Linked DNA regions of Canis lupus familiaris. The protein of the gene in region 6 interacts with the protein of the main gene of each other region in a biochemical or structural test. Links are inferred from orthologs where the notes say so. Each region holds a gene or a part of one and is shown on either strand. Other genes may lie near its edges.

Region 1 (4,651 bases), about 46 Mb from region 6:
ATCTCGGGATCCTGAGATCAAGCCCCGTGTCCCTGCTCAGCAGGGAGTCTTCTCTCTCTGCCCCTGCCCCATCCGCCACTCATGCTCACACTCTCTGTCTCTCAAATAAACAAATGAAATCTTAAAAACAAAAAAAAAAAGATACGAAAGTAATGATTTAAAGTGCTGATACAAGTAGAATTACCAGGCACCCCATAAGGAGTGCCAGATGATGGGTAGAAATAATAAGTGCGAGTGGAGGAGGAGGAGGAAATGGTGATCATGAAAAACACCATCTTAACCAGCGATGGGCATGGATGGTCAAGTGGGGGAAGGCCGTCTTCCCACGCTTCTTTGGAGGGGATCTGGAGTCGGAGACACAAGCAAACCTTCTTGAAGGTCTTTATAGTATTTAGAAGGCCCTGGATGGGCGCCTGACCAATCAGGATGGAATTCATAGAGTTCAAACTATGGAACCCTGCTGGGGTAGGGGTGTAGTCGTTGCTGAGGAAATGGGCCCTCCACAAACCTTATTAACCCAATGCTGCCCATTTTTCCTGTCTGTGCACACCTGTCGGGAATGTGGCGCCTCCCCACCAGTACCACACACACTTAAGGGTCACGACCCCCACCCCGTCACCACACCAGCTGCGCTCCTTGCATGCACACACGCACCCAGCAAGAGCTGTTGCCTGAAGGAGCTAGATGGACATCATGTGGCCGGCGGAGAAGTGTATGTTTGTAGTGAAGTAGCCACTGGGCGGGGGGGGGGGGGTGGCAGGAGAGGGAAGAGCGGTCTGGGGCATGAAGGAGTTGGCATAGGCCCTTCTAGTGAAGAGAGAGACGGTGTGGGGGACGGGGAGTAGTAACAGTGGCAGTAAGCAAAGGAACCGGCAGAAATGGTGTTGGAAATACATACTCAGGTATGTGAATGAATTCAGTGAGACTCCAGCCTTCCAAGAGGGTTGGACAAATGGTCTCCATTTCCACTGGTCCCCAAGGCATTCTCTCTGGAGAGGGAAGGCTATGTTTCCTTTAAGGTGCAAACAGCTGTATTCCTAATCAGCTAGTATGTTCCCAGAGCGTAAATTCAAAGTTGCTTCCCTAATTGGGGCCCCAGCTCCATTTCCTGACTTGCTCGGAGTTCGTTTGTTCCCACAAACATCAGAGTGCCATCTTGTCTTAGATAACTAATCATCACAAGAACGTGAAATTAAAGATATGCTCTTTATTGCAGAAAAGAATGGGGATTAGAGACTTTTCTTCCCTCTGCTGTGCTGCAAAGCATGAAAGAGAAGAACATAAAGAAAGCACTTTCACACCTTGTCAAAGCAAATCAAAACTTGGTACCACCGGGTAAAAAGGTATCACATTTGCATCTTAATGGAAAATGGATTTTAAAGAGCCGGGCTTGCATGCATTTCTAAAAATGTTTAAAATTAGCTCGTGAATAAAATATTTTCAGAGGCAGTAACACCGCATAACCCCCGCCCCCACCCCTTTTCTTCCCTATTAACCTGTTTCTAAGGCTAATGAAAAGTAGGTGTTCTTGTGGAGACTTCTTTCTTTCTTGTAAGCTATGGACTCCTTGTTGTACGGAGTGTGTGTGTGTTCACGTGTGCGTGCAAGAGAACCTTGCATAGCCACTGAGATCTTGTGATTAGAGAACAGAATTGCAAGACGACTGCGCATTTCCATCGTGCCCTTGCGTACGGCTCAGACTGTCTTAAATGCACAGCAGCCAGCAAGGGGCCTTGCAGACCAGATACGGCATTATTTAACCCGGGGTTTCCCTACGTCCCCACTGTTGACATTTGGAATCATTGTTTGCTGGCGGAGGGAGGCGGTCTTGTGCATTGTGTGGTATTTAGCAGCATCCCTGGTCTCTACCTACAAGACGCCCTCCATCACGACGTGGAAAACGTCTTTAGACATTGCCAAATGTGCCCTGGGGAACAAAATCACCCCCGGTTGACAACCGCTGAATTAAATCTTACTTCTGAAAGGAAGATAAAATTATTTCTGCCATTCACCACCATTAGTGTTAAAATCTCCCTTATTATTATTTTTTTATCAGAAGACACAGAAAGGGCATTTTAAAACTTTGTTGGTCGGAATAGAGAGTTATGTTTATAGGCAATAAAAAGCAAAGGGCTTCAAGAACCAGAAAGAGGACCCTAAAAATACAGGACCTATAAAATTGGAAGCAGTGTTACAACCCGAGAACACTTAACAATTGATATTGGCCATAGAGACTTGGGTGGCTCTAATACAAATCACTGTTTATGTGGGTAATTCTTTGGTCTTGGTATTGGATTATAAGTCATTTTTACTGGCTAAAACATACTTATTGCTATTCCCTCCTCACCCCATGGCTTTTTAAAAAGTAAAATCAGCTTCGACACACTCCAGCCACTGTTGCCTTACTTCCTCATTTCTGAAAGCATTCAGCTCACAGAAATCTAGCAGGACGTCAGGGATGAAGATTTTGTAGGGGCGCCTGGCTGGCTGGCTCAGTTGGTAGAACGAGCAGCTCTTGACCGCGCGGTCTTGATTTCAAGCCCCGTGTTGGGTGTAAAGATTACTTAAATAAGTAAACTTTAAAAAAAAAATTTTTTTTTTAAATTTTTGGTTCTGATTTGCCCAAAGCTAATTTCTTTTGATTGGCCCAATAGGATTTTTTTCAAGTGTGGCCCACTGGATTTGGTTAACTGTTCTAGAATTGATCGATCGATCGATCGATCACTGTTTTTCTATAAAGGTCAGTTTTTCTACCCAAGAGTGAGTGGTTTGCTTTCAAATCAATTTGCAAAGTGCTTTGGGTTTTCGAAAGAAGTAGGATGGCCCAACAGTGCTGGCTACCAGTGACATAAAGGGTAGTGCATTTGGGTATAGTTAACAATCAAGTACTTGTTTTGTGATGTGGGAATCTCCATTTTTGAGTCTTTCGAAAGATACATCTCACCTGGATAAAATTTTATGTTTTATATCCTTTATGAAACTCAGTAGATCCTTGAGTTGAACTAATCAAACAGGGACTTCTGGCAAGTCCCAACATTTCTACAATGATTGGAGCACAGAAAGCTCATTTTCCCTGAAAACATGCCAAGGCTGGAGGAAACTTGAGATGAGCGTGGCCAGCCTATTTCACAGGCTGTATGTAGATGGCAGGTGTGTGTTCAAAACGGCTCCCACGAACTCTGTGTACAGGTGAGTCTCCTGTACACAACCCGCTTCGTCCCTACCTGCGATTGGAAAGCACCACTCGACTCTTGGGGGTCTCCAGTGAGCAGACATTTCAGTGGAATATCTTACCATCTTATCTCTTTTGTTGAGTGCCCCGGCCCAGCGGATCCACGTTTATGACCTCCCCCGCCAGGCCTTTCCCCCCAAATAAAAAAAGGGTTTAATCTGGATGTCTTGTTGCAACCCTTTATTACGAACCCAAATACATAGCAGTTTACCCTCACTCGTCATGAAGAGTCCTTGTCACACCCCTTCTGTTGGCAGTGAGAGCATCCCGGTTCGCCCCTGTGGTTAGCTGGTCTCCAGCAGAAACCACACCATACCCACTGGAATTAACACCTGAGGTTTCTTTTCTCTCCTCAGCTCTCTGCACTGCAAGCCAAGGTCCATTATCTCAAGTTCCTCAGTGACCTTCGACTGTACGGGGGTCGTGTGTTCAAGGCAACATTAGTGGTAATTGCTTTTTCTTGCTTTCTCTTGGAAGCCACGGAAGCCTGCAAAATGTCACTGCCATAGGCTGTCTTGAATGAGCTGCCTTTGATGACAAAAGCAAATCAGCTGTGAATCTTTTCCAGCCTTCATTTCTAATCGGCTGCACCCCAGTCTGGAAATATCAGAAGAAATGTTAAACTAGATAACACCACTGCAGAATGCCCTAGAAAAAGAAATATGAAGAACCGAGAGAGTTGATGCGCTCTTACAATGGCCTTCTTTTAAATCATTGGGCCAGAAGTTGCTTTCATATTAAAAGAGGGGGAAAAAAAATCCTCATTTCTAAAAGTGTCTCATGATTATGAATCTATGTGCTCTGATAACATTTACTCTCTACATTATTCCTACTTTATCGGGGCCTCGATGCAATCATGATGTCTGGTTCTTCTAATTGGGTGATTTAGCACAATATGATCGAGAAACACTTCCTAAAGAAAATGTGATCTTGTAAGAATAGGCTCTCAGGTTCAACTCTGCATGGTGTTTTGGAGGTCGAGGATTTTTATACTTTGTCAACGTCTCTCAGCAGGCGGAAAAGCGCTCAGAAGTGACTCTCCTGGTTGGGCCCCGATATGGCATAAGCCACGTCATAAACACCAAAACCAATCTGGTGGCTCTTTTAGCTGACTTCAGCCATGTCAACAGGATCGAGATGTTTACCGAGGAGGACAGCCTGGTGCGGGTGGAGCTCCATGTGCTGGATGTAAAGGTAAATTCTTCAGGTGCTGACACAGGGCCTTGATCTGAACAGCACATTTGTGATAACACCGCCAATATTTACAAAGCGGTCAAAATTTCAACGTGGGCAGAGGATCAGAAATGTGACGAGTTACAGAAAACATCCACCCAACCTAGGCCTGATGACTCCAGTCCTCCCTAAGGAGCCGTGACAAGTTGCTCAAAGTCTTCATCTATACATGAGAAAGCAAACCAG
Region 2 (5,197 bases), on a different chromosome or scaffold from region 6:
ACAAGGACACGAGTAGAATTTTTCTTGGAAAAAGGGAAAGAGGTAAATGAGTATGGATGTGGATCTGTTTACAGGTATCGTAAAAGAAGTTGATAATGTTCCCATTTAATTACCTTGCTTGTCTTATACCTATAAGGAGGTATTTGTCAACAGAGGATGAGGTAGATGAAGGTGGGGGAAATTTAAGGGATTAGAGAGTTTGGAATAGTCACTAGTGACAAAGGGCAAGAGGGCTGACTAAAGAGAAGTAAAAAAGACCAATGAATAGTATTAAAGATCTTGGAGAATAGGAATTGTACACTTTTAGTGGTACCAATTGGTTCATTTATGAGTTTTCCCCAGTGGCCTTCACATGCATGCAGGACAGTTTAAGGAGAGAAGAGGCAAAAGCAGAGAGAGCACAGTTTGAAGAGAAAGGAGCTGGGAGGGGATCACATTAGTTTAACTCAAGAGTGATGGGGACCTCAGGTAGGTTATTTAAGGGGTAAATGAGAGGCTAGGGAAAATATGAGCTATTGAATGGAAGTAACAATAGCAGGACAGGCAAGTGTTTGGATGCAGGTTGACAAAGGGATACCAGAACGAATGAGCGATGAATAAGGCTTTATGAATGGGTGACTGGGAGGACTGCCATGCCATTAAATGATGGAAGAGAAGTTACAGATTTATAAAGTAGGATGACAAATTCAGTCTTGGAAGTACTATACTACTATGTAACAACCAGATGAAGGGTCCCAGTATTGTCTGGAGAAATTTCTTCTATTGGTCTTGGTATAGAGAGAAGTCGGCTGGAGATGTGGATTAGACATTCACTGGCATGGATAAACTACTTGAAGCCAGATATTTCCAAAACAAAGAGTCAAAAGAAGGGCAGATGTCGATCACTGGGAAATATCTACTTTAAGGGAGAGGGAGAATAAGAAAACTTGGAGATTATAATGGTAAAGAAGAAGAGAAGTAAATTCAAAGAGAATCTAGATCAAGTTTCAAAGTCACAGAGAAGCAGAAAGGGACTGAAAGAAAGGTCTTTGAATTAAGAGTCTATTTTTATTTGGGGAATAAGATGGTACAGAAGGTAGAAAGGTACTAGAGCAAAGAAATAATACAGACTTTCAGAAGTGCAGAGAAGTAAAAAGCAAATGACCTTTATGACATATATCACGTCCCAGAGCCAAACTATGTGTATTTTAACATCACATCCGATCTTGGCTTCTCAAAATTTTTATGTGCCTTAGGAAATTACCTCTCAGAATTTGCCCAGTATCCTCAATTTTCCTGGGAAAAAAGCACTTATGGTGTAAAGAACATCACACAAAACAAGTTAAGCCCGTCAGAATGCCAGGCCTCTAAAGTTAAAATGTACCGAATTAACACAAATTACAAAGAAGGCTAATTTACATGTTTAGGAACTACCCTACATAAGAGAAAAGACATGGAGAAGGTGCATAACCTAAATATATGTAAGACATAGTTACTCAAACAAGCAAAACCAAAAAACCTCATAAGTATTGGATGGAGTAGAGTTAAAAGGACGTCAATGTCAAACAGCTTAATGTACTTTTTGGAGCAATGAAAATATTCTAAAATTGATTGTGGTGATGGTCGCACAACCCTGTGAATACGCTAAAAATAACAGAATGGCACATTTTAAATGGGTGACTTCTACCTATGCCAATTGGTAGAACTGCAATAATTTTTTAAAAGCTTCATGTGAGATGATGATGTAAAGCATAGAAAAATGAAAATATCAGTCCCACTCTACTCCTCATAAAATGGAGCAGAGTTTAATGCTGAGTGCCACATACTGGGAGTTATGATAGGAATAACCAGTTTTTGAGTATACACTAAGGCACTTTTATATCAGGCTTTACCTGCATTATCTAATTCTCACAAAACCCCATAAATTATGTATTATTCTCATTTTTCAGAGGAGAAAACTGGAGCCAAGAAATATTAGGTAATTCACCATGGTTATTCCTTTACATAATGTAAAACCTGTGATTCAAACTCATGGGTGCCTGTGTTTAAAGGTTTATCTACTGGGGGGGAGGGGAGAATATAAACAGAATTGATCAAGTTAATGTTAATCCAGATAAGAGGACTTGAAATCTTGTTAAGAAAAGTCTAGCCTGAGGAAAAAGAGACTTAGGGATATGAGAGCCGTTTTAAAACATATAGACAGTCTGTGACATCAAAGAAATCCTAAGATACTTTCCAGAAACATCAAGGGTTTGCATTAGAATCACTGCCTGGCAACTGTAGGGATGAAGGATCTTTTCTTTTCTTCTTTCTTTCTTTCTTTCTTTCTTTCTTCTTTTTTTCTTTTCTTTTCAGATTTTATTTATTTATTCATGAGAGACACACAGAGAGAGCCGTAGAGACACAGGCAGAGGGAGAAGCAGACTCCATGCGGGGAGCCCGATGTGGGACCCCAGGTCACGCCCCGGGCTGAAGGTGACACTAAACCGCTGGGCCACCCGGGCTGCCCAAGAAGGAACTTTCTAAAAGCCAGTGGCATCTACGCAGACTGTTTTGAAGGTAGTGAGGCTTTCTGAACCCTGCCTCAAGACCTCAGATATTCATGCAAAGAACATTTAAGTCAACATTTAAGGATGCTAACTTCGGGTTGCTCGTTAAAATACAGGATGCCCTGTTCAATTTAAATTTCAAATAAACAATGAATGGTGTTTTAGTATTGTCATGTCCTAAAGGTAAGCCCAAAGCACTTTCAGTACTAAGAAGCTGCGAGCAAAGACAAGTCTCAAATATCGCATGGGATATACTTCTAAAAAAAGTATTCATTTTTAAAATGTCTGCTATATCTGGAAACTCTGGGTGTTGTAAAAATGACTTTTAAGATCCATTCCAATGCTGAGGGTCTGTGAGGCTAAGGAGCCAGTCAAGAGCTGTATGGGATGAAATCCCGGGGTGGGGCTGGGGGAGGCAAAGGAAATAGACAAATCAGTACAAAACTGAGAACACTCCGAATGCAAAACCAATGGGAACGGTGAAAGGGATAAAGGACAAAGGCTGGAATCAGAGACTTGTGGCCGAAAGAAAAGACAAAGAAAAGGCGAAGTCCCCGGAGAACTCCTGCTAGCTTCTCCTGGCCTCCTCCCAAAGAGTCAGCCCCTTAACTCACATTTTTCGCACACCATCCTTCCCCGACGGTTCCCCCGGCCGCAGAAACAGCAGCAGCTCGAGAATGTCAACACAACAGCCGGGGCAGACGTCCCCTTCCGGGTTACGAAAATCCGCTTCCGGCCGCCCCGCCCTCCGCCCCGCCCACCGCCCCGCCCACCCCACACCTGAGAGGCCGTGGGAGGCGGGGCTTCTCCCATTGCCCGCCCCTCCGCTCCTGCAATTGGCTGTGCCGCCTTGGGTCTCCGCCCCACAGGCTTGCGCCTGCGCGTTGGCCAGGGCGGCGAGTCGTACCTGATGGTGGGAGGTGGTAGCTCGCGCTCCTCTTCCGCTGGCGGGAGAGTTAGGTAAGCCCAGCGGCGCCCGCCCGGCACGCGAGCCTCCCGGGGTGCCAGCGGCCCCCACCCACTGCCCACGTGGCCGCGAGCGTCTGTGCCCCCGGCCCGCTGGCGCCCGCCGCCCGCCCGAGGGCCACCCTTCCGGCGTGACCCGGGGGCAGCCCCGATGGACCCGGCCCTCGGATCCGTCCCTGTGTGTGGCGCCCTCCGTTCGTCTCGGTCTCCGCGCCCGTGCCCTTTTGCTTATGCCTCTCAGCGCGGCCCCGCCCCCGTTCACACTGGCGCGGGGTGAGGCTCGGGCAGAGTCCCGAGCGGCCGAGGTTGGCGGGGGGCTGCAGGGGCAGGTGCCGCGGGTTGCGCGGGTAAGCTCCGCAGCCTCCGGGGCGGTGGGCGCGGGCCGGGTCCGACCGCGGGGGCGGGGGCGGGGGCGCGGGCGCTGGCCGCCGGGGTGTGCTCGCCAGGGCCCACCCCCGCGGCTGCTTTCGCGGGGGGGCAGACCTTTGGCCCACCCTCTTCTCCTCGTTCGTTCGTTCATTCATTCAGTAAGCAGTTGGGTGCTGCTCCGTGTATTAGAGCCTCATCTGCCCATATCACTTGGGATTCTGAGAGCGGCCCAGAAACATACCCGAAGGGATAGTCCGCTCAGACGGTGTATTCCGGATCCTGCGCCCCTGCCCCTTGGTCAGCGGATCTGCCAGAGAGGTTTCCTTCCTCCCTTCTTGCTCTTCATCCCCTTCTCGGCCCCTGGAGTGTAGATTTATGTCAAAGAGGCGAGGGTTTGACGTGGCTATAGTGCTTGGGAGCTTGGGACCTTGGACATGTCTCCCAACGTGCCTTAGCCTGTTTCCTTATCAGTAGAATATTTGCCTTGGAAAATTATAATGTGAACTAGATCAGAGCTGTAAAGATAAGGCCTTGACTTGCCCTTTTGTTTTTCTGGAATATTCAACCACAGTGTAACATGGGTAACATGTGGACTGTTACTTTGATATTAGCCAGTACTATGTATAAGCTCTGCGTTAGGTAATTTATAAATAAACATATATGTTATACATACCACGATGTGTATTTTATAGAGAGAAAGAAAGATTTTTCTTCTACTTATGCCCTACTTTTGATTGGAACCTAGCACCTGTAACGGACATTGTCATTTCGGTATTTCTGGAGCATTGGGATCCCTTAGTTTAGCATAATGTTCTTTGGCCTTTCCTGATTACACTGGCCACCATTTGAGTCCTGAAGTGTGCACTTGGTATTGCTTGTCATTTGCCAGAAGAGGTGAACTACTGTGATGTTAGACAAGGGTCCCTAGTGGTTACAAAGAAGAAAAAAAAGCAGTTTAGTCAGAGTGTATCCATGGATCGGAGAACGCATAGCTTATATTTCCAACCAGAGCAAATCATTAATCTCTGCGTGTTTGTTTTCACCGTTGTGATTTCGACAAAAAAGAGAAAGAAAAAGAAAAGGAAACGAACCCCTTAATTGGTCTTAGTACATGACCCTTTTACAGAAACTGGTTACAAATATTTAAGAAATTACTAAGTTTGGCCTTTTTAGGTTCTAAGACCTTTTTGAGCCAAACTAGTCTATATGTATATTTATATGTATGCATCTTCCCATATTCTGAAACTCGTAATTATTGCGCATAGAAAATTGATTTGTTCATGCTTACTTTTAGGCGTTGGAGCATTTAGACAATGGAAAAAAATCATTATTGG
Region 3 (4,651 bases), on a different chromosome or scaffold from region 6:
ACTTGACACGTAATCCCTCCACTCCCTAGACAAGGCCCTGGTTCTTCCTCCCACTCTTCCTATTCCTTCTAGCCCCCAGCAAGAGAGAGGCGAAGGGAATCTTCTTGCCTGCAGTGTGCTAGAGCCTCTCTCCCAGTGCAACATGAAATTTCTCTTTCTCCCTACTTTTTACCAGCTCTGTCTTGCCCCAGTCCTTCTCTCCCCTTTTCTCTCACTGTTCTTGTTTGGGACCTTGACTCTGCTTTGACAAAGGGCAGCCTTCCTCACAAAGTCTTTTCAGTGAATTCTTAGGATGTTTTTTTCTGGTCTGCTCTGGAACCTCCATTAGCTTTGTTAACTGGCTATGCAGCTTAGCCAGTTAGAAGAGGAGCTGGAGAAGCTGGGGAAGTTGAGTTTATCTTAAAGTTACTTTAGAATACCTGATGGGACCAAGATCTGGTACAGAAACTGATGAAAAGGAGCACACAATGTGCTGAGCATCTTTTCCCAGTCTGACATGTGAGGTTGCAAGACTAGTAGAGATTTTGTCTGCTATATTTCTCTTTTTGAGTCAATCACTGAAAACACATCTAATGCAATGTTTGAAGTAGGACTTATCAACAAAAGTCATGGTCAGTTAAATGTTAGGAGTGGACCTTTGTTGGAAACAGTTAAATCCATGGTCATTTGGAGACTATGTGATGAATGAAGGTGGGCACAAGGATGCAAGAACAGGTTCTACCTGGCAACCCCTTAAATTTGTGTTTCCCTCTTCAACCACATGCAGACAGGAAGGCTGTACTTTGTCTTCTGTGCCTTCCCTTTTCTGAGTATCAACCTCAGTCTGTCCTTAAAATTTTCCCCAGCAAAGTAATAGAGCAAAGGATTGAGGCAGGTATTGGCTGCTGCCAAGGCCAGTGTGACGACTACAGCTTTATGCAGGTCCTCTTTGCATGTATTCACTTTCCACTCCATCAAGTGGAGAGTTCTCAGTATGTGATAGGGCAGGAAACACAAGAGGAAGATGATCAAGGCAATGATGACGGTGATAAGTGCCTTCTTGTGAGAAACACGCAGCCCTGATTCTGGGACCTCTACTTTTAACAGGGCTCGAATGATCAGCAGGTAACAAATGCTGAGCATGCAGAATGGCAGCAGGAAGCCCATCACCAAGGCAATGTAGTTCATGGTCTTCAGTTTAACAATTTTATTGATATTCAGCTCTAAGCATAATACGGCACTGCCCTTCTGCTCAGAGCCATTTTTCAGAAGCATTACTGAGGAAGCCATGATAAGGATCCATATGATCCCACACAGAATCCAGGCACTCTTGATGCTGGTGACATGGAGAAGCCGGAAGGGGTGAACAGTTGCCAGGAAACGCACAATGCTCAGCACAGTCAGGAAATAAATGCTGCTGTACATGTTGACATACATAGAATAAGACATAATCCTGCAGGCCAAGTCCCCAAATATCCAATTGGAGCTTCTGATGTAATAGTCAGCTCTGAAGGGTAGTGTACTTGTGAACAAGAAATCTGAAATGGCCAGGTTTAGCATGAAAACATTCACAGAAGTGGACTTCTTATAAGATTGCAGGAAAACATATATGGAAAAGCCATTTCCCAAGATTCCCCAGACAAATATTACCAGGTACACAATGGGGTAAAAATCCTTTTTGAAGTTTTCAATTGTGCAGCTCCCATTGCTGTTGCTACTATCAAAGGTGCCATTGGGTTCCATTTCTGGCATGGAGGTGAACCGAGGCAAGGACAGAAGTTTCTTCTCTATGCTGGATTAAAAAGAAACAGACACAAAAAGTTACTCCTCACTCACTACTTACATCTTTCCAGGTTTTAATGAAACAGGGAGAAATACTGGCTTATCTTTGCAACTTGAGTCCAAAAATATTAGCAAAGTTTTTACTATATCCTCCATTATATTTCATGATAAATTTCTAGAATGCAAAATAAACATTGATTTATTTCATTGAAACCGAAGCCTCAAACTTGGGAGACATTTGGTCCAGTGCTTGTGTTAATACTACAGTCTACACCTACCAGACAACAGATGTCTCATCAGAATATTTGGAAGAAGACAAAAGCACAACATTTTTAAGTGCTAAAACAAAAGTCTACCAACCCAAATTTCTATATCCAGCAAAAATACTTTTCAAATATGAAGGAGAAGTCAAGACGTTCTCAGATGATGGAGAACTAAGAGAATTTATTGTCTGCAGACCTACCCTAAATGAATGGCTAAAAGAAGGCCTCTAAACAGAAAGGAATCAATAAAAGAAGGACCCTAGGAACATTAGAAAAGAGGCAGAAAATGAAAAGCAAAAATATGGGTTAAGTACAATAGGATTGTCTTCTCTTTTTGAGTCTAAGTTACATCTGATTATTGAAACAAAAACTCTAACCTTGTCTGATGTGATTCAATATGATGCAGGGGAATTTTTAAAGATAATTTTATTGTAAATGGGGGAGGGTAAAGGGACACAAAGGAGGTAAGGTTTCCACAACTTCACTTGAGTTGGTAAAATGATGATGCCAATAGACTGTGGTAAATGATGTATGTGTAATGTAACACCTAGAGCAGCCATTAAAAAGCTATACAAAGAGATATGCTCAAAAACACTAGAGCCAAATCAAAATGGAATTCTGAAAAGTGGTTGAATAACCAACAGAAAGATAAGAGAAAGAAAATAGACAATACAAGCAGAAAAATACAATCAAATAGCAGGCTTATCCCTAACAAACCAATAATTACATTAAATATAAATAGTCTAAATATACCAATTAAAATACAGATTGGCAGACTGGAATTATATATATATATATATATATATATATATATATATATATATATATACATATATATATATAATATGCTGTATATAAGAAATTCACTTCAAATAACAGTACTGGCAGGTTGAAAGCAAGAGGATGAAAAATATTTATGTCATGGAAATGTAAATCAAAGAAAATCAGGAGTAGCTCTCAATATCAGATAAAGTAAACTTCAGAACAAAAAACAATATGAGAGAGGGACATTATATAATGATAAAAGAGTCTATCTATCAAAAAGACACACCAGTTCTAAATGCGTATGCCCCAAACAACCGAGTTGCAAACTATATGAAGGAAAAACTGATAGAATCAAGAGGAGAAATATACAAGTCCATGGTTACAGTCAGTAATTTCAAAATCCTGTCTCAATAACTGATAGAACAAATAGACAAAAACTCCGCAAGAATTGGATAAACTCAAGTACAACATCAACCAATGGGACCAACTGACTTACCTTTCACAAAAATTAACTAAAATGGATCATAGACTAAATGTAAAACTATAACGTTTTTAGGAAAATAAAAACCCAGGAGAAAGTCTCTGGGATTTAAGACTAGGCAGAGAGTTCTTGGACTTGACATCAAAAACATGATCCATGAAATGAAAAATTGATAAATTGGACTTCATCAAGGTAAAACAACTTTTCCTCTGCAAGAGGTTCTGTTGAGAGGATGAAAAGACAAAATATGGGCTGGGAGAAAATATTTGCAAACCACAGATTTGACAAAAGACTAGTGTCTAGAATACATAAAGAACTCTCGAAACTCAGCAGTAAAAATAAATAAATAAAACCCAACCAAACAAAACCAAACAATCCAATTAGGAAATAGGCAAAAGACACGAAGAGATATTTCAGGCGTGTGGGTAAAATACAAGCACATACAAAATTGTTCAATAGCACCAGCCACCAAGGAAATGCAAACTATAACTACAGTGGGATATATTTACACGCCTACTAGAATGGCTAAAATAAAAAATAATGACAACATCAAGACATTCTAGTTACCGGTCAGACTTGTAAATCTGGTAAATAGTAACCATTGCTTCCTAACTTTCTAACACCCATTCTATCACCTATTGTCTTGAGTGTTGTTTTTCTTTAGGAGGAAAAGTCCGTAAGGAAAAGACAAGGGGAGGCCGGTAAGTCTGTCCTCCAACCGCCCCAGGGACTGAGTGTTCAGAAGGACTGGCATTCTTTAGACAAACTCTGGATAAACTTTGTGTAAAGTCATCATTTCAAATATTGGAATGACTTCCTCTGTCATATTTTTGTGATTCCGAGGTCTGCTTTGTTTAGTTTTTTCAAACCTAATTTGAGGCAGGTGACCTTTGCCCAAATTTCACAGATGGAAGAGCAAATAAGCTCCGTCCTTACAGCACCCCAGCACTCGTGGGGTCCATCCAGCTTCGAACTGTACCTCTCCCAGGGCCACGAGGTGTCTTTCAGCTTTCCTCACTGTAGAGCGCCTATGCCACTGGCACAATTTCACCAGGGACCATGTGGAATTGCAGTGGCCACTTTGGGGAACTTGTGACATGAACAAGGTTGTTTGCTTGAGAGGCGCTCTAGGAGAAACAGTGAGGAAACCGTCAAGAGGACATTGTCTAAAATATTCTTTTTGTTGAATGTTGGTGATACCCCCTCCTTTCCTTCCATTCTTTGGGGATTAAAAAGTGCTAGCTCTTTTATCAGGTATTGACAAAATTGACAAGGCCTTAAACCAATTTTAAGGTCAATCCTTTTCAGGTATATATTCAAAATCTGTTTTTCTAGATATAAATGTTTTTCAGGTACATGTTCAAAATGTTTTTCTAGATAT
Region 4 (4,651 bases), on a different chromosome or scaffold from region 6:
ATTGCATACTTACGATAAGTTAGAATTGGGGCAATGTGAGATAGCTGCTCCTCGTTCCTTGAATACCTGCAGTTCTTCTGCAGAAAGGTAGCAGCCATGTGCCATCACTGTCTGGAGAGAAGAGTATCCTGTGTGGAGTTTACCACTTAAAAACGTTTCCAATAGTCTTCACTGACAGCAAGATGTTACAGGCACAGACAGAAGCTGTGACTTGTCTGTAAACATCTTCATAAGAACATTTATGATTACTTGTATGTATAAAATCCATGTACAAGTTACTCTTCAAAAAAGGCCTGTAAAAACACTGGATTACACAATTCTCAGCAAATATGTGGATCTTACTTTTTTTCTTTTTTTTAATCTATAAAATAATGAGGGTCCAGGTGATCTACAGCATAGGATATCCACCCAGCTCAAAGATACTATGCTGTCTTCATCTCCGCTTTAGAAAACAACCAAGTTACTTTATTTTCTAATTCTACATGGTGAGCAACCAGTGGGGTTGTGCTTATTCCTATCTTAATCAGAACTTACTATAAGTAAGTTTTCCTTTGTCAGACATGGAAGCTGTAGGCATAATCCTGGAAAGAGTTGGGCTTTTATTTCTGCTCCTAGTTAAATACAGGCACTGATGCTCTCAACACATATAACCAAATAATCTTTATTTATCTATCTTTTAAGTCTTTTTAAAATTTGAGTATAGTTAACACAACCAAATTAACCGTTTAAGAGGCACCTGGTGGCTCAGTGGTTGAGCGTCTGCCTTTGGCTCAGGGCTTGATCCTGGTCCTGGGATCAAGTCCTGCATCAGGCCCCCCGCTGGGAGCCTGCTTCTCCCTCTGCCTGTGTCTCTGGCTCTCTCTCTCTCTGTGTCTCTCATGAATAAGTATAAAAAAATCTTTAAAATAAACCCAAACTGTTTTATCACCTATATTTACATTTTCACAAAATTAGGAAATGTATCTATTAATTTGGAAGACAAAATTATCCATGAAGGCAGGCACTGCACACATACAACACTTCTCTATTTAGTCCTGGTAAGATTTGTGGGATTTCCTAAATAAGACTTAAGCCTTTCTTACAGTATATATATATATATATATATATATATATATATAATATGTAATATTACTCAGCTTTAAAAAAGATGAGATATTGCCATTTGCAACAACCTTGATGGACCTAGAGGGCATTATGCTAAGTTATTATGCTAAGTGAAATAAATCAGAGAAAGACAAATACCATATGACTTCACTCATATGTGGAAACTAAAACAAAGAAAAATTAATAAGCAAAGAAAGAGAAGCAGAATCAGACCTATAAACAAAGAAAACAAAGTGATGGTTGCTAGAAGAGAAGAGGCAGGAGGATGGGCAAAATGAAGGAAGAGGAATGGGAGACACAGGATTCCAGTTAAGGGATGAATAAGTCTTGGGAATAAAAGGCAATATAATCAATATAGTCAATGGTAATATGTTGTATGGTGACAGGTGGTAGCCACACTTGTGGTGAGCACAGCATAACAGAGAAAAGTTGAATCATTATGTAATGCTCTGTGCATCAACTCTACTCAAAAGAAAAAAATAAAATAAAATAAAATAAATAAAATAAAATAAAATAAAATAAAATAAAAAGGCTTTACTCTTTCAAAATTCTTTTTCCTTCAGTACAAAACCTGTTTCTAATAGCTTTCTCCTTTGGGAGACACAGCTCAGTGACCACAGAATTATTAATAAAATAAAAATTTCCCAAATTTTGTGCAAATAAAATTAACATGCAAATTGGAGGTTAATTTATTAATCATATGGAAATATATGTAAAGGAGGATGAAAATTACAGCGTAGCATTTACAAGATCTATGTAGAATATTAACCTTTCAAAGTAGTCATATTCAGCCCTCTGTTCATCATCCGAAAGAATTTATTCACTGCAGTAGAATTTATTTGCTGCAGTAGGTTCAACTCTCCATGCAGTCTGTACAATTCATTGGAGGCCAAGGGGTATATGATTGTAATGAGGTGTCACCTCACTATATTAATTGTAATTAATGTAAAATTATTTAGTTATGAAAGTATTATATACTAATTTTTTAAAGCAATACCACAGTGTTTAAAAATAGAGTAAAAAGTCCTTCTGTTTTCTCCCTCAGGAAGACCGTTTTTTAACATTCAATGTTTGTACTCCCTTATACTTTTTTTTAAGAGACAGAGAGAGAGAGCAAGAAAGAGTACGTAAGTGGGGAGGGGCAGAGGGATTCTCAAGCAGGCTCCATACTCAGCATCAACCCCAATATGGGGTTGATGACCTGAGCCCAAATCAAGAGTCAGGTGCTTAACCACAGAGCCACCCAGATGCCCCTCCAAATCATTGTTTTTAAGTGAGCATGCACCCACACATACACACATCAAACACAAACAACCCTTATAAACATTCTTCCTTGTGAGCCTGTATACATCATTCTTGCGAATGCTGGATAAAATTTTAATTATGGATGTTCTATAATCTAGACAATCCCCCACTGATAGACATTTCCTGACTTTCACATTAATTAACATTCCTATTCATATTCCTTACAGAATGGATCCTTAGAAATGCATCTGCTAACTCAAGGGAATGCACATTTACATTCTGATGGATACTGACAAAATATCCTTGGGCCAAATGACATTCTTACCCCCAAAGAAGTCTTTAGATTTATTTACTGGCATGAAACTTCAGGCCAATTTTTAACTATACATCCATGCACGCGTGGTGTATAAGCTTTACTCTAGTTTGGGAAATGTGCACATGTTGAAGTCTGAAGATTACTATTGAGATTTTATTTTATTATTTCATTTTTCCCCACTGCCCTCCATTACTGAGATCTTAAAATGTAGATAAATATGCCCTACTTTACACAGATTATGTCATGATATGCAATGTACCTTATCTGTCAGAAGATTGTTTCTATCATACACATCTGTGTAATTTTTATAATCGTAAAACAGGCTCTTCACAGCTTCAACTTCACTGATATTTTCACTTATGTGGCTCTACAAGAAAAGAAATAATATTTTCAATTTTCTAATGTGAAATACCATTAGAAATCATACTTCCTATCCCAACAATGATAAGGATGGTTTCTACTTGCCTATATAAGACAACAAAGATTCTACATGTGCTTTATTGAAAACAATTATTCATATTATACATAACATCTATAAGAAAAAGAAACTATGAATGTGAGCATGATAATTACATCGATATGTAATGTTCTAGCCCTAACCTTAATCCATATTATGTTCTTTCCATAGCAAGAATGAATAAAAATAAAAAGTACTTGAAGAGAGTCAAGAACCTAGCTATTTGTGGCAACTTGCCTCTTCTGGTACTGGCCATTAAGAAAAGAGTTTATTGGTCATAAAAGGACAGACAGCATGGTTCTTTCTTAAGAAAACTGGAACTTGAACAAGGAGAGATGAATGCTAGCCCAAGTTCTGAGCCTAGTCATTTGTCTTAGGGTGAATCAGTTCTTTCCTTTGGGTCTCTACATTCTCATCTCTCAAATATTAGGGTTGGGCTAAATGAGTGATTTTCTAAATTCTAAACTCTTCCAGTTTTGAATATGTTATTCATATAAAAATTCATGGAAATCCAATATGTAAAAGGCATAAACAAGTTGTGTCTCAGGAAGAAGCAGGATTGGGATTTAAGAACACTGTCCTCATTTTGCCCACTTTGTCAGCTTCCAAAATAAGTTCTTGTACAGAAGACAGTTTGCGAATAACTGAGTTTGACAATTCTGAAGTCACCAAAAAAGAGCCCATAAAAATCCACATCCAACAGAAACAAATGAGTCCTGGCCCACACACCAACCTTACTCCAGGGCACCATAAACCCTGAGAGGGCAGTAAGTACTTTTGAGACACAACATTTAAGTGTAACCACTTCATCCCCTTGCCTAAAACAAAAATCATTCCAGATCAACTGGTGATGAGTACATATTATGGGAAAAAAACTCATGAGCAAGTTGCCACTTCCAAGAATAGCAAAGCCATTTCCCTTTCTCCATGAGGTAGAGTGTGAACCAAATGAGAGAAAAAAGAGCAATGGTCTAAAAATAGAGTGTTCTACCTAGAGGGTGAGCTCTATCCTGGCCTTGAGGAAATCTAGACCACTAAGGAAATACATGGGCATCTGAAGGGAAGAAGGGTCAAGCAGATGATTCTTTTCACTTTGATAAGGTTGAATAAATGCTGAATGAACATGCACACATGCATACACCTCTAGCAAAGATATACTTGATTTTGTTTTGTGTTCATGGAGTTCAGGACACACTACCTCCAAATGTGGCACTGTAGTATATTGTACATTTTAAGCTGAAGGAAAATAGCTGAAGATCAGAATGACCTTCCCCTCCCCATCATCCCTGTAACAGATCAAAAAACTTTTATGTGAGGGTGCCCATCCTATACTTGGAGGAAAGGAGCAGCCTTATCTCTGAAGACAAAGGGGTGCTCAGAAGAATCCAAACAACGATCATATTCTTCCATGACTGCTCACTTGTCACCAAATCTAGCCTAGAAATGCTCCTGTTTCTTACTTTGCGTCTTCATTTCCTTATGAAGGCTCCTGTATCATGTAAAACTTATATTAAATACATTCGTATGCT
Region 5 (5,015 bases), on a different chromosome or scaffold from region 6:
CCCGCCCCACCTCGTGTGCACACATCCTGAGTTTAAAAAAGATCTCCCTAGGCAGAGACTAACTTTGCTCAAAATACATAAATGCACTCACTGAAAGAAGTTAGAAAAATCAGACTTATTTCGACAGACCCTGAAGAGTGTGAGGCAGATGGACAAGTTAGCAATATGCCTATACTTACGTGTATCATTTACATAATGGCTATTGGCTGGGTCACTGATTATGAAGTGCTGACCCAAGGAGTTCACTTATCAGAATTACTAGGAGGGAGTGTTTACAAATACAGATGATCAACCCTCACTCTTGCCACCCCTTCTCCGCAAGATCCTGATTCAGGGAAATGGGTATTTATATGGGGAGGAGCTAAGGGGTGGGCCCACTTCCTTTTTTTTTTTTTTAAAGCACCCCTGGTGATTCTGATGCCTGAACTGGTTTGAGAGCCACTAGCTAGATTATCAGATGCTCTCAAATACACAGATGCAATTTCTGAAATGTTCATTCCATGTAATTATTCAGTTTCTGGGCCTATTTTCTCTCTTGAGTGAACCAAAGAAGATACAGTTTTTGATGAAAAATCATTCCATTAACAGCATTTGAACTTGTTTCTGTACCTTCAGAAGCTGAACAGGGTAATTCTGGAAGGAATATTCTATATAACATCTTGTTTTCTGACTTTTCAGATCACAACTATTCATGTAACCTACACTTTGACTTTGCATTTCCAAACCTGGAAACCTGAGATACTGACATGAAAATCTGAAATTAATCAGCATGTTTTGCTATTAGCTTTACTACTATAATCAGAAAGCAGCCAGATGTTCAGCTGACTTCAATCGAATAGCTATTTTTGATTATATCGTATTCTAATATTCTAAAAAGACTCACAAAGCTTGACCTTATAATTCAGTCTTTCTCTTACTCATCAATGAATTAAGGGTTTAGTTATTTATGATTTTTAAAAACCTTTGTGAAGCTTGTCATTAACCTCCTCTGCTGTACCAGCATGTCATGGCACATGTCGCTCAACATCCACCAGCCAATAAACCTTTAAGGGTGATTATGTGTGTGCTTTTTTTTTTAATTGTATAATTCATTTATACAGAGAAATCATTTGGATTATCTATTTACAATCTTTTTCAATTTTCATTTCCACTGGCCAGAAACAGTTCACGTAATAGTCAACATTTACTTGAGCTGATTACCAATATAGATCTGCCATGACACAGGGCTTTGGCCTTCCCTCCTTAGAGACAATGGCCTCATTGAACAGAAACATTTTACAGTGAAAGATTCATCAGTTATTTTTCCCTCTTATGAATAAATCCAGCAAAACTGATCTAAATGGTCAAATTTTCAACACATTTGTTTCCTTTCAAACCCATAAACCAAGACAAAGAAAAATTCACTTCCCCCAAGCCTTCTACGACTTACGACATACCCTCAAGTTTAGCTTTTACGATATCGTTTCAACGTCCTGGCACAACCAGACGTTTTTACCTTAAGACAAAACTACTCTCTTAGGCTCTCTTTTTTATTTGTTTGTTTTGAACTTATTACCAGTCAACTGCTTTCCCTCTTGCTTCTCAGACAACACTAAAACTTTCAAGAAAAACCTTACGGCATTTTTCTTCCCATAGTCCAGGATACACGGGGTCATTTCATGTGTGTTCTCCATTCTGACATGCTATGCTTTAAAGATTGCAATTTTCTTAATTGGCTCAAAAACAATATGGCTTGGTTTCACTTGGTCAAGTTAATCTGATTTTTTAAAAAAAGATATATATATGTATATATATGTATATATATATATATATACACACACACACACACATACATACACATTTTAATCAAAAAAGAAAAATACTTTAGAGACACACCAATTTGAAAAGGAAAATGCATCAAAGTAAAAAAAAATAAAAGCAAATACTAAAAACTACAAATTAAAAAAAAATTAAATACTTGGCAGGTTAAATGGATGAAAAATGAGGAATGTGCAATGAAAAACAAATACAAAGCATTCCAGTTGACAAAATGGAAAACTTAGTAAGTTTTACGGTTTGTTCTCCAAAGACTTTAAGTTTCACTGTAAGTTCTGAAATATCACAAACATATATTGTGTGAAGATTTCAGGTTGCTGATGCTACAAACTCAAACTCTGTATGCAGAGTTTACCAGAGAAACACTGGTGAAATCCCAGTATTTGTAAAACTTTAAGTTTTGGCAAATATTGTAAATATCACAATTAGAAAGTCTTGATGAATGCAGAAGAGAAAATCCATTTCATAAATATTTCATTTGATTAATAAAAGGCTTGCATGTTCTAAATAATCTGAGAAAAATATCTTTAAAAAAAAAGGCTACAGTTTAACAGTAATCTGCATGTATCTTTAGCTGCCTTAAAAAAAAAAAAAAAAAAGGAACAACCACCCAAACCAACCAAAAACACAGAAAATGTTAAGACTGGTATTAAGTAGCCCTGCAATGCTCCCATGCTTACATTACAAGAAAAAACAAACTGTACACATTTATAAATAAACAGTCTCTCCACCAGTTCATACACAGAACTTCCTTTATACCAAAGTCTCTTTCCGTTTGCCACTGAACTGGGCTTTGTCCCTTGCTTTTCGGAAGCCAGACTGTGTTTGGTGAACTTTCACACTCTTCACGTCCTCTGCTGTGTGCACTGGGGACACACATTCTGAAGTGTCTCCGTCAACCTGGACCTGAGTCATGCTGGACGCCGTGGAGGCCCTTCTCCGGGCCCGGATGCTCCCGGCAGAGGGGTCGTTCTCCCCACACTCCTCGTCGAGCTCTGGGAGACCCTGCAGGTCAGCTGGGCAGACAGCCTGCTGGAAAGGAGCGATGGCCGAACGGATGCAGTTGAACCACTGCTGTTTGTGGAACACATCGTTGGCCTGCAGAGTGTGGGACTGGCCTGGGGAGGGGTCTTGGAAGCGAATTCTAAAGATATTTTTAGCTAGAAGAATAAAGAAATGTAAAAAAAGAGACTTAAAAAAGTTTCTGGTAAATAAAGTCAGCATGCAATCTTAGGATGGGGGGTGTTCATATCGCAGGTACATCCATTAGGCAGACAGCCTAGGAAAAGCCCATCCCTGACTCCTTAGATACACCTGCTGGGTCAGGGCAGCAAAGCACCTGCCAACTCAGTGAGTGCAACAGGTACAGGACAATGGAATCCTTCTCATTTACAATTTTTTTTGTATAAGGACAACTAAATTCACTTAGGTTTTGAATTTATGTGTATTTAAACTACTTTAAAGCTTGTTTTCTTACCTTTATCTGAGTTGCTGAAAGCCCCTCGAAAGGACCCTCCCATTCTCACATCTCCATCCTGCAGGTCTTCCAAGACCAGCTCTTGGACAGGGATTGGCTGCCGATAAACCTGGTAAGAGTGACGCTCATTTCGTGTAACAGGCCGAGTCAAAACCAAGATGTCTTGAAACAGGAATATGTAAAGTTTCTGGAAAAACAAGAAATAAATATGTCTTAAATGTGAAACTCTGTAATTTTAAGTGACTGAAATCCACCATTAAAATGACTTGATTCGACAGTAACTTCCTCAGATTTATTTACTAACATCCTCCTTACAAATGATCTCATAAAGACTTTGATTTCAAAGCTACCCATGTTCTACTTGGAGAGCTTTTCTAATCTCAGACTATATAAAATTTATTTTTATCAGCGGGTAACATTAGATTAAGCAGCAGCTGAGTAAACGCTATGCACCACAAAACACCTACCAGTAGTAACATGTCTGGAGACACCAGTATCAGATACCAGTTTTCTAACAAAACAAGGATTAACAAATGCAAGCTGGTAAAAATGTTAATGGTTTGATTTTGTCCCACACAAATGTAAGCCTTTATAGAACAATTAGGCTTCATAATAGAAATCAGAGGTGTCAGGTTTCAACTTTTTCCGAAAAGATCTCAACTTCTAAACTGGGCTTCTAGGGAGTAGGGAAATGGGGGAAATAGGTGATGCAGATGATGGAGTGCACTTGTGGTGAGCTCTGGGTGATGTACAGAATTGGTGAATCACTACATTATACACCTGAAACTAATATTATACTGTATGTTAACTAACTGGAATTAAAATAAAACTTCCAAAAAAATGGCCTTTTTTCTGAAAAGCACATAATAAAACAAAATACCATTACATGGGGTCCCTGGGTGGCATAGTTGGTTAAGCGTCTGACTCCTGGTTTTGTCTCAGGTCATGATCTCAGGGTCCTGAGATCAAGCCCCACATCGGGCTCCATGTTGGGCATGGAACCTGCTTGAGATTCTCTCTCTCTCTCTGCCTCTGCACCTCCCTTGAACAGGTGCATTCTGTCTCTTTCTCAAATAAATAGATAAATCTTAAAAAAAAAAAAAAAAATCCATGCTTACATTTATTTAGTTCTAGCAAATACTTTTATAATAAACATTCATTTTTAAAGATTTTACTTATTTATTCATGAAAGACAGAGAGAGAGAGAGAGAGAGAGGCAGAGGGAGAAGCAGGCTCCATGCCAGGAGCCCTATGAGGGACTCCATCTCGGGATCACACCCTGAGCCGAAGGCAGACACTCAACCACTGAGCCACCCAGGTGCCTGTATAATTAATATTTAAAAAATAAGTTTGCTTTCATTCAAACTGTTGTAGAAATTTGTTTAGTAGTGCTACAAGTTACTTCTATCACTATAAACTCTTTGAAAAAAAAATTGAAAGACATGTTTTTTAAATTAGGAAACTATTAATTTATTTTGAAAGGAACCCCTAGCCAAAAAAGTTGATTTATGCTTCAAAACTAAAATATAGGGCAGCCCAGGTGGCTCAGTGGTTTACTGCCGCCTTCAGCCCTGGACCTGATTCTGAAGACCTGGGATTGAGTCCCACAGGGGCTCCCTGCATGGAGCCTATTTCTCCCTCTGCCTGTGCTTCTGTCTGTCTCTCTCTCTGCCTCTGCCTGTGTCTCTGCCTCTCTCTCTGTGTCTCTCATGAATTGGTGATA
Region 6 (5,437 bases):
CCAGGGTAGGATCTGGGTGGGAGTCAGAGGCAAAGTCAGGGGTGGGATAGGAGCAGAGTGGACACAGTTCCCCAGGAGGGAGAAGCTGATAACCTGTGGACTGACTGGCAGCAGAGCCCATGGCCTTCAATATATAGTAGCCATGGGAGAAGTGAGGGGAAGGAGATGGAAACAAGCATTGTTCTGACCAACCCACCGAACTGGTCTCCCAGACAAGATATAACTTGTGACCATTGTCAAGAGAAAATGTGATTCTGGACAGACAAGTAGTAACTGCTCCCTGGCTCCCACTCTCATCCCCGAGAATGGAGGAACTTCCTTGCCTCTCTCCCCGGGTAACCCAGCACCCCTCCTCCATCTTCCTCTGGCTGTGTTACCCCTTTTCCAACCCCTGGTGTCCTCCTCTGAAGGGAGCTGCAAACCTAGGGTGGGGGCTCCTTCGTGTGTCCTGCTCTGCTCCCCACTCCATTGTAGCTTTGGCTTGGGAAAACAGAGAGGGCACGGGTAGTATTGGCTAGTCATGCCTCCGCCTTTGCAGGGCCTGCCCCCTGTACTTTATGCCCTGCAGCCCTGGGAGGTGGTGGGAGGACTCCAGCTGCAGCCCCACTCTGGTTCCTGATCCCAGGAGGAAGAACCCATGGCTTTTCAGAGCTCCCAAACCAAAACAGCTGCCTGGAGTAAGATGCAACAGACACACAGGCAAAAGGACACCCATACAGCCCTTCTGTGCATCTGGGGTACCATGTGTGCCCACATGTGATAAGCCATGCTTCAAGCCCAGCTCCAGTGAGAACCAGAGGCTCCAGCCTCCCACTGCCCTGCTCAGGGACCCCGCTCCCAGGACCAGGAGCCATCTGGGGATCATCCCTGGCAAAGAAACCTTGACCAACTGGCCCAGCCTTGGGACTGGCACCTATCTGCCAGTTGAGCAGGATAAGCATGAGGGAGTGTTTGCAAGGGTAGGGCCCCAGGATACAGGAAAAAAGAATGAGGGGGACTCACTAGAGAGGGCAAAGAGCCAAGGTAAGGGAAAAGGGAAGCAGTAAGTGTGGACAGACAAAAGACCAGAACTGAGGAACTGAGGACTCCTCTCCCTAGGAAGTCCCCACCTTTGCTTCTGAGTGAGAGCACATTCTATTCCCAGAGGAGGACAGAGGCGGACAGAACGGTCACCAGCTTGGGGCAGGCAGCACCTGCCCTCGACAGCAAAGCCTCTGTCTCCTCTCTCCCTAACCTGGGGGCTGCAGAGCCAAATAACCAGACAGGCCCTCCGCTATGCATGCCAAGGACCTGGCTCTGCCGGCCCAGCCTCCATTTTGCTGCTTCTCCCACAGATGCTCCTTCCATTTTCTAAGCTGGCAGTTTAGACTGGGAGTGGAAGCCGGAGTTGTGCCCAGCACCCAAGGGGTTCCCAAACTGTGCCAAGTCAGGGCTTGGGGGCCAAGTTCTCTCACATCTGGAGGTACCCAAGGGGGACATGCCCCGCTGGGGCCAGTCTTGCACCAGGGCAGCTGCCCCTTCTTGGCTCCAGGCACCATGCTTGCTCTAGAGCGAAGAAGCTTGCTTTAGTCCCCCCACCCCCTACCTTTGGGCCCCCCCAGCACACACACTTCAGAGCTGCTTGGACAAAAGAGTCCGTCCTTCTCAGCAGCCTCTCAGCCTTGTTTGGGACGTGTCTCTTGCCTCCTCTCCCTCCCCTCCTTTGCCTGTCAAGAGCCTCTCACCAGGGACACCACACACACACACACACACACACACAGGCACATGCATGCACACACTTAAGCTACATGCTCACACACATATACATGTAGCTACACACACAGGCAAACACAGCTGTCCCTGCAGCCTCATCTACAGAGAGACACCTCCACATTCAGAGAGACATCCCCACATGTCCATGTGCACATTCACACACAAAGGGACTGGGACAGAAAAGGACTCATGGCACTGAAGGATAAAGCTCAACCAGCTGGGAACATGGGCTCCTCTACATAGATTCACAGGAGCTCCATTGCCTTCCTCCACACACCTTAACATACATACACACATATGTCCCCCCTACGCAGAGCACCATGCCCCCTCCTCCCCCCCATGGAAGCACACACCATACACAGCCCCCGCAAAACCTCCCGCCCCCTGTCAGACACAGAGACGCTACTAAACCTCCGCACTGAGACAAACCCAGTCCCCCTCACAGGAAAATGTACCCCTCCGCCATACCTTCACCTCCTGACACACACAGCTCCTCCCAATCCCCTCCAAATGGAGACCCCCAAACAGACACACACACAGAAGCACACATTTCCAACCGCCTCTCTTAGCTCAGGTGAAATGCTAGGGCTCGGAGTCCACTGGCTTGAAGCCTCCAGGAATCCCTGCTGCACCCCCAGGCCTCTAGGCCCCCACTCTCCAGCCTCCCCTGGGTTACCCCACCATCCCCCCCGCCCCCCCCCTCCGCACTGCTGGTCCATACCTGCTCATACCAGTCCCGGTTGGTACAGGTGCACTCGGGCCACCAGCTGGGGCCACTTCCGTTGAGTTTGGGTGTGCTCTTGCCTGGGACTGGCTTAGGGGGCACTGGCCCCACATCCCGACCAGTGGGGATGAGCTTGGCCTTGGTGCGGGGGGTGGGGGTAGCCCCCGCCTGTGAAGGCAGGGTCTGCGAGCTGTAGCCCCCATAGCCCGCGCTGGTTCCATTGCCCCCACCTGGCCCGTAGGGGTCGGGCACCTGCCAGTCCCCATAGCCAGGAGGCTCGAGGCGCCGCAGGGCAGCCAGGCGGGTCACCTCATAGCACTCGGGGCATTTACAGCAGTGCTGGTGCTTGTGCATGGCACTGCCCCCCGCCGCCCGGACACCCCAGCCCACGCCGGTTTCCACACCGCCGCCGCCGCCGCCGCCGCCGCCGCCGCCGGACTCCCGGGCACACTCACACTGCTCGGACCAGGAAGGAGGGGGCACCCGTGGGGGCGCTCGGGCGGAGCGGGGCCTGGGGCCGGGCGGGCGTCCCGGGGCTTCTGCCCCCACGCTGCCCCGCACCCACGGCTCCCCCTCCAGCACTGGCGGCTCCGTGTCGCCCGTCGTGGCTCCTGGGCCGAGGCCCAGCGGCAAAGAAGAAGCGGGAGCCTGGGCAGAGGCTGGGTGCTGAGAGGACCGCTCCTGCACTGGTCCCCAGGATGGATCTGAGTGGAGTCAAGAGCATCTCTCCCTGGCTCCCTTCTCAGTTGATTCCAGCCAATCAGCGTGCAGAGTCAGGCAGCGGCAGCGGCAGCGGCAGGAATGCTAAACAGCGGCTCCTTAAAGGAACAGAGGCAGTGGCGACCCCAGGCTCAGCCCCAGCTCCCCAGACATCTGGGGTACGGCCGACCCTAAAGCAGGGACGGGGGATTTGGGCCACGGGGGAGCTCAGCCCCTGATCTAGTGCCCCCACATCTCCAATTCCAACCCGTCCTCCGCCCACTCCACCCCACCCCACTTCCAAGAGGGAGTTGCAGGGAGATAGTCAATGGGTCCCTGGGCTTGCTCTGAGCTGGGGCTAGCAGAAGTAAAGACTTGAAGCAGCAGAACAGACCAAAGGGATGTTGGAGCAGGGCAAGGAAGGTGATCTTTCTTAACAGGGGACCACGGAAGAGGGCAGCATATGTGGCTACTCTCCTGTCAGTGCCTCTTCCTTGGGACTATTGTTCTCTCAACCTCTAGGCCTGAAATGACCGCAATCTCACACTTGACCTGCTTCCATCACTAGTGAGGGACTCAAGCCTAGAACAGGAGGAGGAAAGGAAAGCTCTGAGCTCTTGTCCCCGGCCCAGAGGCTCCTGTCTCTTTCCCCGTACTCCTGCATGGTTATGATGGGAGAAAGAGCTTTAGGATGCCAAGAGGAAAGAAGAGTCCAGGGCAGAAGGAAAGGTAAGAAGAGATCTGAACTTAGAGAAACTGTTCCAGGGGGCCTGGAGAAGAACTTAGGAATTCCTGTCTGAGGACATCTCCTTAGCCTCCCTGGCTCAGCCTGTTGGGGGTTGGAGGAAGGTGATATGCAGGGAAAACTATCTCTTTTTGATGTTCTTCTTTTGTCCCTAGCTACCAACTATTGAGTCTTTACAAAGTCCTAAGTGCTTTACATTCAAACGAACCCCCTACCAAGGTGTTACTATCCTTATCTTAATTTCACTAATCAAGAAATTGGGGCTCAGAGATGTTAATACAGCTGGAAGTGACAGAATCAGGATGCAGAACCTGGCTATTTGATTCAAGAATCCATACTCTGAACCACCCTGGTACAACAGCTCTATTCTAAGTTCTCCCGTAGGCTGTAGATCTCAGTTCAATTCAACAAACATTCATTGCACACCTACTCTATGCAAGACCTCAGCCTAGGTCCGAGAGATACAGAAGTTCATTCTTAATTCAATAAACATTTATCTAACTAACACTTGCTATGTGCAGACACTGTTCTAGGATTTGGGGATATAGCAACAAACAGAACAAAACAATAAATCCCTGCCCATGGGGAGCTTACATTCTAGTGAGAGGATATAGACAAAACCCAGCATAATAAATAAGAGAATTATATAATATATAAGGTGCTGTGGGGAAAAAAGAAAAGTCAATCAGAGAAGAGGGTGTTGGGAATGCTAGAGGAGGATGCTGGGTTGTGATCATCTTTCTTCAAGTTTTTTACCTCTACATTTTAATACAAAAATTATCAAACATACAGAAAATTGAAAGAATCTTACAGGGAACAAACACCACCTGGATTCTCATTAATATTTTGCTATACTTGCTTTATCATATATCCTCCACATATTCTTTCCAACTTCTTTTCCAACTTTTTTTAAAAATGAAAATTCACAAACATATGGAAATGTTGACAGAATAGTACAATGAGCATCAATATGTCTTTCTCATAGACTCAGCAACTGTTACTGCCTTGTTATATTTGCTCTATCATCTATCATGTAGCTACATTGTTTTCTGAACCATTCGAATGTGTTACAGATTTCATCACACTTCTCCCCTAATACTTCAGCATACATCTTGTATTCTCCTACATGACCACAGTATTATTATGGCATCTAAGAAAATTAGCAATAATTTCATATCATCCAATAGCATCTAATGTCTAGTCTATATTCAAATTTCTCCAAATTTGCCTTTTATAGTTTAACATCAGAATCTAATCAAGGCTCCCCTATTGCCTTTGTATCTTTAACCACTTTTAATCTAGAACAGGGACGCCTGGGTGGCTCAGCAGTTGAGCATCTGCCTTCAGCTCAGGGCGTGATCCCAGAATCTGGGATCGAGTCCCACATCAGGCTCCCTGCATGGAGCCTGCTTCTCCCTCTGCCTGTGTCTCTGCCTCTCTCTCTCTCTCTCTCTCTCTGTGTGTGTGTGTGTGTGTGTCTCATGAATAAATAAATAAAATTTTTTATTGGAGTTCAA

Evidence for each region.
Region 1: the proteins of DLG3 (region 6) and FRMPD4 interact in a test that uses a peptide from one of them, tested with the Homo sapiens proteins (2 studies listed by IntAct, with this or other methods). The link is inferred for Canis lupus familiaris from reciprocal best matches to the Homo sapiens genes DLG3 and FRMPD4.
Region 2: the proteins of DLG3 (region 6) and CRIPT form a complex in vitro, tested with the Homo sapiens proteins (2 studies listed by BioGRID and IntAct, with this or other methods). The link is inferred for Canis lupus familiaris from reciprocal best matches to the Homo sapiens genes DLG3 and CRIPT.
Region 3: the proteins of DLG3 (region 6) and CYSLTR2 interact in a test that uses a peptide from one of them, tested with the Homo sapiens proteins (2 studies listed by IntAct, with this or other methods). The link is inferred for Canis lupus familiaris from reciprocal best matches to the Homo sapiens genes DLG3 and CYSLTR2.
Region 4: the proteins of DLG3 (region 6) and GDA form a complex in vitro, tested with the Homo sapiens proteins (2 studies listed by BioGRID and IntAct, with this or other methods). The link is inferred for Canis lupus familiaris from reciprocal best matches to the Homo sapiens genes DLG3 and GDA.
Region 5: the proteins of DLG3 (region 6) and NET1 interact in a test that uses a peptide from one of them, tested with the Homo sapiens proteins (2 studies listed by IntAct, with this or other methods). The link is inferred for Canis lupus familiaris from reciprocal best matches to the Homo sapiens genes DLG3 and NET1.

Annotation. Positions count from the first base shown.
Region 1 is NC_049260.1:9,177,806-9,182,456, forward strand, and holds part of FRMPD4 (FERM and PDZ domain-containing protein 4), read left to right. Parts: intron 1-1,216; coding exon 1,217-1,343; intron 1,344-3,588; coding exon 3,589-3,678; intron 3,679-4,243; coding exon 4,244-4,426; intron 4,427-4,651. UniProt on the Homo sapiens protein: Positive regulator of dendritic spine morphogenesis and density. Required for the maintenance of excitatory synaptic transmission. Binds phosphatidylinositol 4,5-bisphosphate.
Region 2 is NC_049231.1:49,890,499-49,895,695, reverse strand, and holds the start of CRIPT (cysteine-rich PDZ-binding protein), read right to left. Parts: upstream 3,269-5,197; 5' UTR 3,159-3,268; coding exon 3,143-3,158; intron 1-3,142. UniProt on the Homo sapiens protein: As a component of the minor spliceosome, involved in the splicing of U12-type introns in pre-mRNAs. Involved in the cytoskeletal anchoring of DLG4 in excitatory synapses.
Region 3 is NC_049243.1:2,883,142-2,887,792, forward strand, and holds part of CYSLTR2 (cysteinyl leukotriene receptor 2), read right to left. Parts: intron 1,772-4,651; 5' UTR 1,732-1,771; coding exon 733-1,731; 3' UTR 1-732. UniProt on the Homo sapiens protein: Receptor for cysteinyl leukotrienes. The response is mediated via a G-protein that activates a phosphatidylinositol-calcium second messenger system.
Region 4 is NC_049222.1:86,202,217-86,206,867, forward strand, and holds part of GDA (guanine deaminase), read right to left. Parts: intron 3,033-4,651; coding exon 2,925-3,032; intron 112-2,924; coding exon 14-111; intron 1-13. UniProt on the Homo sapiens protein: Catalyzes the hydrolytic deamination of guanine, producing xanthine and ammonia.
Region 5 is NC_049223.1:29,480,218-29,485,232, forward strand, and holds the end of NET1 (neuroepithelial cell-transforming gene 1 protein), read right to left. Parts: intron 3,480-5,015; coding exon 3,293-3,479; intron 2,976-3,292; coding exon 2,569-2,975; 3' UTR 1,053-2,568; downstream 1-1,052. UniProt on the Homo sapiens protein: Acts as a guanine nucleotide exchange factor (GEF) for RhoA GTPase. May be involved in activation of the SAPK/JNK pathway Stimulates genotoxic stress-induced RHOB activity in breast cancer cells leading to their cell death.
Region 6 is NC_049260.1:55,078,023-55,083,459, reverse strand, and holds the start of DLG3 (disks large homolog 3), read right to left. Parts: upstream 3,196-5,437; 5' UTR 2,831-3,195; coding exon 2,474-2,830; intron 1-2,473. UniProt on the Homo sapiens protein: Required for learning most likely through its role in synaptic plasticity following NMDA receptor signaling.